Neodiprion lecontei: one gene and its partner. The protein of the gene in region 1 purifies or fractionates together with the protein of each later gene. This does not show direct contact. Links are inferred from orthologs where the notes say so. Each region holds a gene or a part of one and is shown on either strand. Other genes may lie near its edges.

Region 1 (3,759 bases):
ATCGCTCAAAGCTCTGGGCAATGAGAAACATCACACATTGGATGTTAATACTTACCCCACCATTATCAGTGATCAATTGTTTAATCTCTTTTTTTCGCTTAGATAAATTGGTTGAGGTAACAACTAGATTCATGAAGACAGGGCACTTGTATTCGTCAAATCTACTGCTCGTAGCCCGTATATTTTCCACAAGACTTGCTTCCCATACTGCTGTTACCCAATTCTCAGTCATGACTGGTATTTTTTGTTCAACAGCTTTCTAGAAAAGTATAAATGATATCGAAAATTGCTACAATTCGTGTTTGTAAGAGTCGTTGTTAATGTTTTTAGCCATATATAAATATACAGACCTCGTACTTCTCAGACATCACAAAATTTGCAATCAAATGTGTGACACTGTTTCGCAATTGTCGCGAATAAACACCCCCCATGTATTCTACCTTCCTTCCTATATTTTCCTGAAAACAAAAAAATCAGACTCAGAATAATCGATGATTGAATTACCTTTTGTCAACTGTGAGTATATATATGTTTAAATGTCTTTGTTTGCTTAGGAGCACACAGAAGACAATATTTACGCAAAAAATTATCTGTTTTTCTATAAAACACAAAACGATCAATAAAACTTGAACAATAATTTTCACTGAAGGCAATACAATAAAGAACCCTTGTAATTTTTAAATGATCGCAATATAACAATTGCTATTTCATCGGAACAGGATAGTATCATACAAGCATCACAGTTGTTTGCATACCAACTTGCAATTGCCTCTATAATTTGAAAATAATTCGTAGATAATATGTACTTTTGCCTCTGAAGTGAGACCAGACACACTGACAACCAGGCCTCTCATTGCAGTTGTGAATACTGGGCTGGTTCCTTCGGGAATTGGTTCCCCGGTCATGAAACAGCTCAGTAAACATCGCGGTCCAACTATTCTGCTAAAACATAATGAACCATCAGTTGTTACTAGCAGCTTACGTAATTTTTCAACCGAGTTTTCATCGAGCTTTGATATTTATGTGCTGATTTATTATGATAAGTGAAATGAGTTTGTTTGAAGGAAATATTGTATAATGTAAGAAATTCATGACATGCAGATTCAATTTTCTGATTAGAAATGTAAATGGTATGAATACTGTAAATGTTGCTACAATCAACAGCTGTATTAAATTCTTACGAGCATTTAAATTTTTTCAAATGTGCGAACGTTGACCCCTCAAATTCTTCCAATACAAACACGTCCTTCTTTCCTGGTGCTAAGTTGTCGCATAAATTCTCTTTAATCCATTTTGGCGATAATTCGTGTTCGTCGCAGCTCTATAAAATAAAAGTGTGATCAGAAAAAACTTGGAGCATAAAATTTTACCGTGCATATGATTATACTTTGTAGTTTATCCTGTGAAATCAATTATTTGCACTATTTGCAGAAAATTAAATCTTCAGAATCACAAATTGCATTGAACTGCAGTAGGTGATTTATGGTTGAATGTCAGCAAATACCCATGAAATTTTTAGTATGGTTAAACAGATATACTTACATTAAATGCATGCCACATGTCGCTTGAGCAATCGTTCTCATCTTTCTGATCTCTCGTTATGACAAAATATATGTTCAAATCGGAGTCCACCTGACTTCCTTCGCTGGTCATTCTGTATTTCATAAATCCAAATCAACTGTAATGTAATGAGAATTTGATCTAAATTGAATTTCTGCTCTAAATTGGCATATAGTTAAATCTACCATTGACAATAATTACTTTGTACTGAACATGGGTTGACCATAAAATACAGAGTGTCATGCCTTATTACTGAAAGTGGAATTGAAGGTAAGAAATGTGTTACAAAAGATTTGAAAAACAAAGAGTTCTTACCTTTAAAATTTTAGATCCGAGTACTTGTAAGTCATAAATTATTATTGACAAGTTACTGGAAACTTATACTTGTGTCTTTGATGTATTGAAAAAATTACCCAAGTTCCAGTTCTCGTGTATTAAACTTATGATAACTCGAATTGAAAATGGTCCGGCGTTTGTAATTTTGAACGTAGAAAAGGCTGCAGAATAGGTTATATTCCTAAAACTACAACGATTCTCAAACTCCAGATAAAAATATGATAAATAACAATTATTGTGATGTAGAGCGATGGCTAAATCATAATAGACAAACATCTATATTCTTGATCTGCCGTCAAGTCAAGTCATTTCATAATGACAATCTCTGTGCCAACCCGGTGAATAATTAAAAAACCAGGATAAACTAACTGCCAATTGGTATAACTAGTATACGGCATTTCCCGCGTCCCGGTCGCTGCTTTACGATATTTTACGATGTTTCACGACGGTTGTGTCAGGAGAGTATTTTCATTCGTGAAATGGATAATGTAAAATGGAGTCGCAATACGCATGCGCGTGACTAATGTTTTTTGATTTTGTAATAATTTTTGGTCGTGGTCACTGATCTCTATATAACACAGATCAGTGCCTGAACTCGACAGCACAAATGAGATAAAAGATTGTTGACAGCACTGGGAGCTAATTTCGGAACGCACCCATGGAAAATGGGAAAAGTGTCCTAGGAAAACCATACTTCCAGAACGCTCTCGGTATTAGATTTCAGAACGGAATCGGAACAATTTTCTAAGTCTCATAGGAAGCGTTGGCTAAAAAATTAAAAGACGCTTACCCCTTTCATACTTAGTCTAGAAACGTTTACAATCGTTTCTAAAAGGATTGTTAGCAAATTTCTGTGAGCAGTACTCGGCGGGTAAGTGTGCCTGGGGCCATAAGGAGCCATATTAGCGATCAGGTCGATTTTTTACCGCTGAAAGTTAACACGCAATTCGCAAGCACTCAAAATCCTTTTAACGTAACTGCTTTAACAGCTTTACTCAACGCATAAAGCAATGAATTAGTCGAATTTAACTAATGATATCGCTTTGTGTTAAGGCGTGACTGAAAATCTTGATAAGTCTATGGGGAATACACAACTTCTCGCGCCGTGGAAAAAACCGGGGGAATCCCATCAGTCTTACGACACTTGATCACATCATTGCAGAGTGGCGGTATAGGAGGGAAACGAGAAGCCTGGCCAATTGTGAGCCCGCGTCTTTGCTCATTCCACGCTTAGTTCTTATCGTAGTACTCGTAAACGATATTTTCTGTCCTACAAGAAGGTGGTAGAATAGCGAAATAACTATTTAAAAGTAGTGATTGTTCTTTTAATATTGTGACATTGTTTATTTCAATTAGAAAAAAATCAGTGAAAGTACTAGAAACAGCACCAGCATTGAAGAAATAGCCACAAAGTCACTGACGAAGACAAAGGAACATGGCATCTGCGGACGATCAATTGGAAGATCCTCTCGATTTTGAGACTCCGGAGATTGAGATCAAGTTAACGGAAATGAAGACAGCACGATATTTTACGATAACAACCGACAGCTACATATCGTTGTGCTCTCGCGTTTACGCTGCACTGTGCGCTGAAAACCCAGAATTTTCTGCCAATTTCTCAGAATCAGTTTTTCAATATTATGCTGTCATTCATTTGTGGATGCGGTTTGCAGCGGTTCTTCCTAATTCGATGCAGAGGACATCACATCAGTTTCTGGCTGAAATGTACAAGCTAAACAACGAATCATGGCACGTACCCAAGCCATTGCTAACATATTTGAAGGGAATTGGAAATTTTCGTGATGTTGACAATTGCGAGAGACAGTTTCAGTTGCCAGTATTACCAACCCATGAATCCATCGG
Region 2 (3,759 bases), about 3.3 Mb from region 1:
ACCTGGTTATTTCGTCAGGAGTACATGAGGTTGGATTGTCCATTAAATAACGCGTGATTTTGGCGCACGCTGCATCTCTCAAGGGCTCAGAACTTACTGTAATTGAACGTTTAATTCATGACTGTTCTTCAGTTAGTATATTCGATCTTATTTAATTACAAATTGCTTTTAAACTTACCATCAAAATTATTGCAGATTGTCAAATCAATGACATCATAACAAAGGCTGGTAGCAGTTGGAGAAGTTCCCATCTCGCTGACAAAATTCGTCAAAATTTCCACCCATTCTGCATCCGTGCCTGCCGATAGTATACCAAGACTTTTCCAGCTAGGAACAAGCTTGACCATCTCTATAGTCCGAACTATGATTGCGTATTTTTCCTTAATGATGAAAAAAAGAAAAATATGATTGTAGAGGAAAATATGCTACGAATATGGACACGATATTGAAAAATCATTGTGTTTTTATCGACACCTTTGGCCCAATTAGCGATCTTTGCATCATCTGCGTCGCAATTTTTAGTGCAAGGAATTTTACATCTGGTGAAGAATCAACGATCATTTTGAGACACACATCCCATAACCTTGACTGGTTCCATTGTGTAACACCAATGTTTAAAATGATCTGCAAAGATCAAACGATGGTTAAAATGGGACCAGCAATGTGATTGAAAGTCAAAAAAATACATATCATAATTAAGATGCGACATGAAATTTTTTTTCTATATAGATATCGATGAATTAATTCTACTATTGTTTCAATTAGTTCATTGAACAACTCTTATGCACAGACTTGTTATTCGTTCTACTATTATGACTTGCTATGGTTGTCAAGTTGAACCATCAACCCCTTAACGTTACCTTTGATATAAAAATCTGTAGAGAATAAAGCCTTTTTTCAGGTACCCTGAGCGGCAAGGAAACGAGATCTAAGTAACCTATAACACCAGACTCAGCCTGGAATCTGGCTATTTCCATCTGATCTCCAGGCTTACAGTTTGCTTCAAATTTTACAATATCTGTAAACGTAAGGACCTGAGGTTATTATATCACATAGTTCATTTCTTCCTTGCTATTCAAACCATGCTATTAGCCAACGGTTAAAAAACAGATTCAAAACTCTTTTAGACACACCTTCCAAAACATCCAGCAGCTCTGAAGATATTCGATTAAAATTCGGTGGGTAATGTGTAGCCAATATGCGCAGCATACAAGCTTGTACTTCCAAACTGCTAGAGTGTACTTCTGTACCAAACGGTGCACCCGATATGTAGAACATCGTTCCAAAAAGCCAAATTGTAAATTCTGTAATAAAATAGGAGAAATGATTCTTCGCATCACACCAACACTTTTATCAATTTTTATTTGTTGGCGTCGATAAGCTCCTATATTTACCTGTATACTGTCTCTCGAGATTTTTGTAATTCTCTCCTACCGCCTGCGGGGGAACCAAAACATTTGTCAGGTTGGCAGACCCCTTAAGAATGGAACCCAAAATGACACGAATTGTTCGTTCCGCCGTGTCGTTTTGTAGGTCCGACAATATAGCGACCAAAGGGTTGTTTATCACTCTCCATACTGTTTCTGCAGTCGCTACGCTACTGTTGATAGATGAACCATAATAACAAATATATTGTTTCGATGATAAGAGTACAAGAGGATGAATTTACATCTGCTCATGTTCGAATTTACCAGTGTTCAAATAATGTTATATATAAGAATTGAAGGGGTTAGAATAATAAAATTAAAAAATACACAATTACAAACAAAATCACGTCTGTGATGTACGAATTTGCCGGTGTCCAAATAATTCAATACAAGTATTGGGTTAATTAATAAGAGGTTAGAACATCAAGACTTACCTGTTACTCGAATTTGATAATTCGGTAGTAGAATCGCTGCTCATGATTTTTATTTAGGTTTGTTTTCCTTGCGAACTACGAAAGACTTCGTATTGACGATACGAGATAGGAGGTTGGAATATTGTTTGGACTCGCATCAACGAAGAATTTGCTTGACACATGCGGTATTTTATTCAACTGAAAAGAGCACATATTGCCGCCTTCATAACTAAAGCCAAAAATTGCTAAAATTCTTGCTATCACAGAATTTACACCCCTATTCATCAAACTCCACAAGCGGTTGCAGAGCGAATTCGCGACTGACAGGCCATGCTGTACAATTCAAACTGGCTGAGTCGCGAGGGCGTCGGACCGCATGGGAAACACGGCGGTAATACTGGTCGGTAATGCAGATTCACCGCGGACGGTAAGTGTACCGACTGTTGGTAAGACTACGTAGAATCAGTCAGCTCTGGTAGGGTCCCTAAAATTTGTATACCTAGGTAAGTGTTTGCTTATGGCATCACGTATTTAGACCGGTGAAATATAATAATAATACTAATTCAGTGATTTTAGACCACACGATTTAGAATTTTAGCACCATTTTATTCACATAATAATAATTATTATACAAACAACTCCGAAATGAAAATAGTAACATACATCATCACACTCGCGTACTATATAACTATACACATATAATAGAAATGATAATACATTTACACGGAGAATAATTGTAACAATATGATAGTCACGTACGCACAAAAAACAATTAATCATCGTTCTCGTTCCGTTAACTCTGCAGTAATAATTTTGCTAGTCAAATTTTGTGAAACAGAAATTGGTATATTCGTGAGTTTAAGTATTTTTTATAGCTATCATGACTCCCAAAATCGAAATCGATAATCCACGGGCACATAGTTCAATCCGAAAAAGAGACAAACAGCACCGATCAGTGTAACCACGGTCTTTCAGAAGGACATTCGTCCTCATTTAGTAAATCATTTTGTAACGTCAGAACCCGCCCCTGTATGTTTTCGCCTCGTAGCAGGTAACTGTAGGGTGATAGCAGGCTGCGAAACCTCGCAAGGTTGCACAAGAGTCCGCTTGCTCTCGTGGCTGGTGATGTTACGGAAGTTGACCTTGAGGCTGGGCACGTGGTGCTCGGCTGACCAGTCAAAATTGAAAATCGGCGTCCCGGACCTGAGGTCCGAGTCAGCAGAGACGTCGGTGCAAGGTGTGGTAGGCGTTGTGACGCAGGGACTGAGCTCCTGGAGCTGGACGATATCAGGAACCTTTTGGAGAGTGTCGACCCAAGCGTTGCCAACGGAAGTACAAGCCGAGCCCCAAGGCTCGGTACAGACCTCGGCCGGCTCGACGATCGTCGCAGTTTTAATCACCAGCCGCCTCTGCGAGTTATAGCTGCAGCTGTCTATCGCTGTTGCTGTGCAGCAAGCCGAAGCTACGATTGAAGTCACTTCGGTACTATCACCGTAACTCTTGTCCAGGTCCGTTAGACTCACGTACTTCGGAGAACATCTCGGGGATGAACACTCTCGCAAAATCGTTGAACTAACCCCGGGAACAGAGTTGCCGTGATGCATCTGCTGCTGGAGCAGGGTGCTGCTCCCTTTCCGCTGCTTGTTATTACGGATGTTGAATGTCAGGGCTTGGGAAAGTATGTGGAGGGTTCGCTGCTCGATGTCCCCTGTGTGGTGTGAGATCACGGCTCCGTTTATCGACATGTCCACCGGTTCCGAAGTCTCCCGACTAATGTGCGTTGAAGAATGCTGCAACGTTCAAGAATACGTGGCATGTTCGAAAGATAACGGGAATTTTGTAATATTGAGTGTGTATTAGTCCGATTCGCGTGTTTTTTTCGTTGTGTGTTGATAAACTTGACTGAAAAGTTGCTGCAC

The links. The genes of interacting proteins can lie anywhere in the genome.
Region 2: the proteins of DNA topoisomerase 2-binding protein 1-B (region 1) and serine/threonine-protein kinase ATR-like purify together in Homo sapiens (affinity purification with western blotting; 8 studies listed by BioGRID). This does not show direct contact. The link is inferred for Neodiprion lecontei from reciprocal best matches to the Homo sapiens genes TOPBP1 and ATR.

What each region holds. Positions count from the first base shown.
Region 1 is NC_060264.1:28,711,222-28,714,980, forward strand, and holds the start of DNA topoisomerase 2-binding protein 1-B, read right to left. Parts: upstream 2,355-3,759; 5' UTR 1,876-2,354; intron 1,679-1,875; 5' UTR 1,666-1,678; coding exon 1,543-1,665; intron 1,322-1,542; coding exon 1,182-1,321; intron 943-1,181; coding exon 807-942; intron 459-806; coding exon 351-458; intron 260-350; coding exon 56-259; intron 1-55. Other genes in the region: uncharacterized protein LOC124294485, read left to right, coding at 3,332-3,759. UniProt on the Homo sapiens protein: Scaffold protein that acts as a key protein-protein adapter in DNA replication and DNA repair. Composed of multiple BRCT domains, which specifically recognize and bind phosphorylated proteins, bringing proteins together into functional combinations.
Region 2 is NC_060264.1:32,008,331-32,012,089, reverse strand, and holds the start of serine/threonine-protein kinase ATR-like, read right to left. Parts: upstream 2,160-3,759; 5' UTR 1,906-2,159; coding exon 1,862-1,905; intron 1,601-1,861; coding exon 1,395-1,600; intron 1,305-1,394; coding exon 1,134-1,304; intron 1,019-1,133; coding exon 861-1,018; intron 625-860; coding exon 475-624; intron 381-474; coding exon 179-380; intron 97-178; coding exon 1-96. Other genes in the region: neuronal PAS domain-containing protein 4A, read right to left, coding at 2,842-3,630. UniProt on the Homo sapiens protein: Serine/threonine protein kinase which activates checkpoint signaling upon genotoxic stresses such as ionizing radiation (IR), ultraviolet light (UV), or DNA replication stalling, thereby acting as a DNA damage sensor.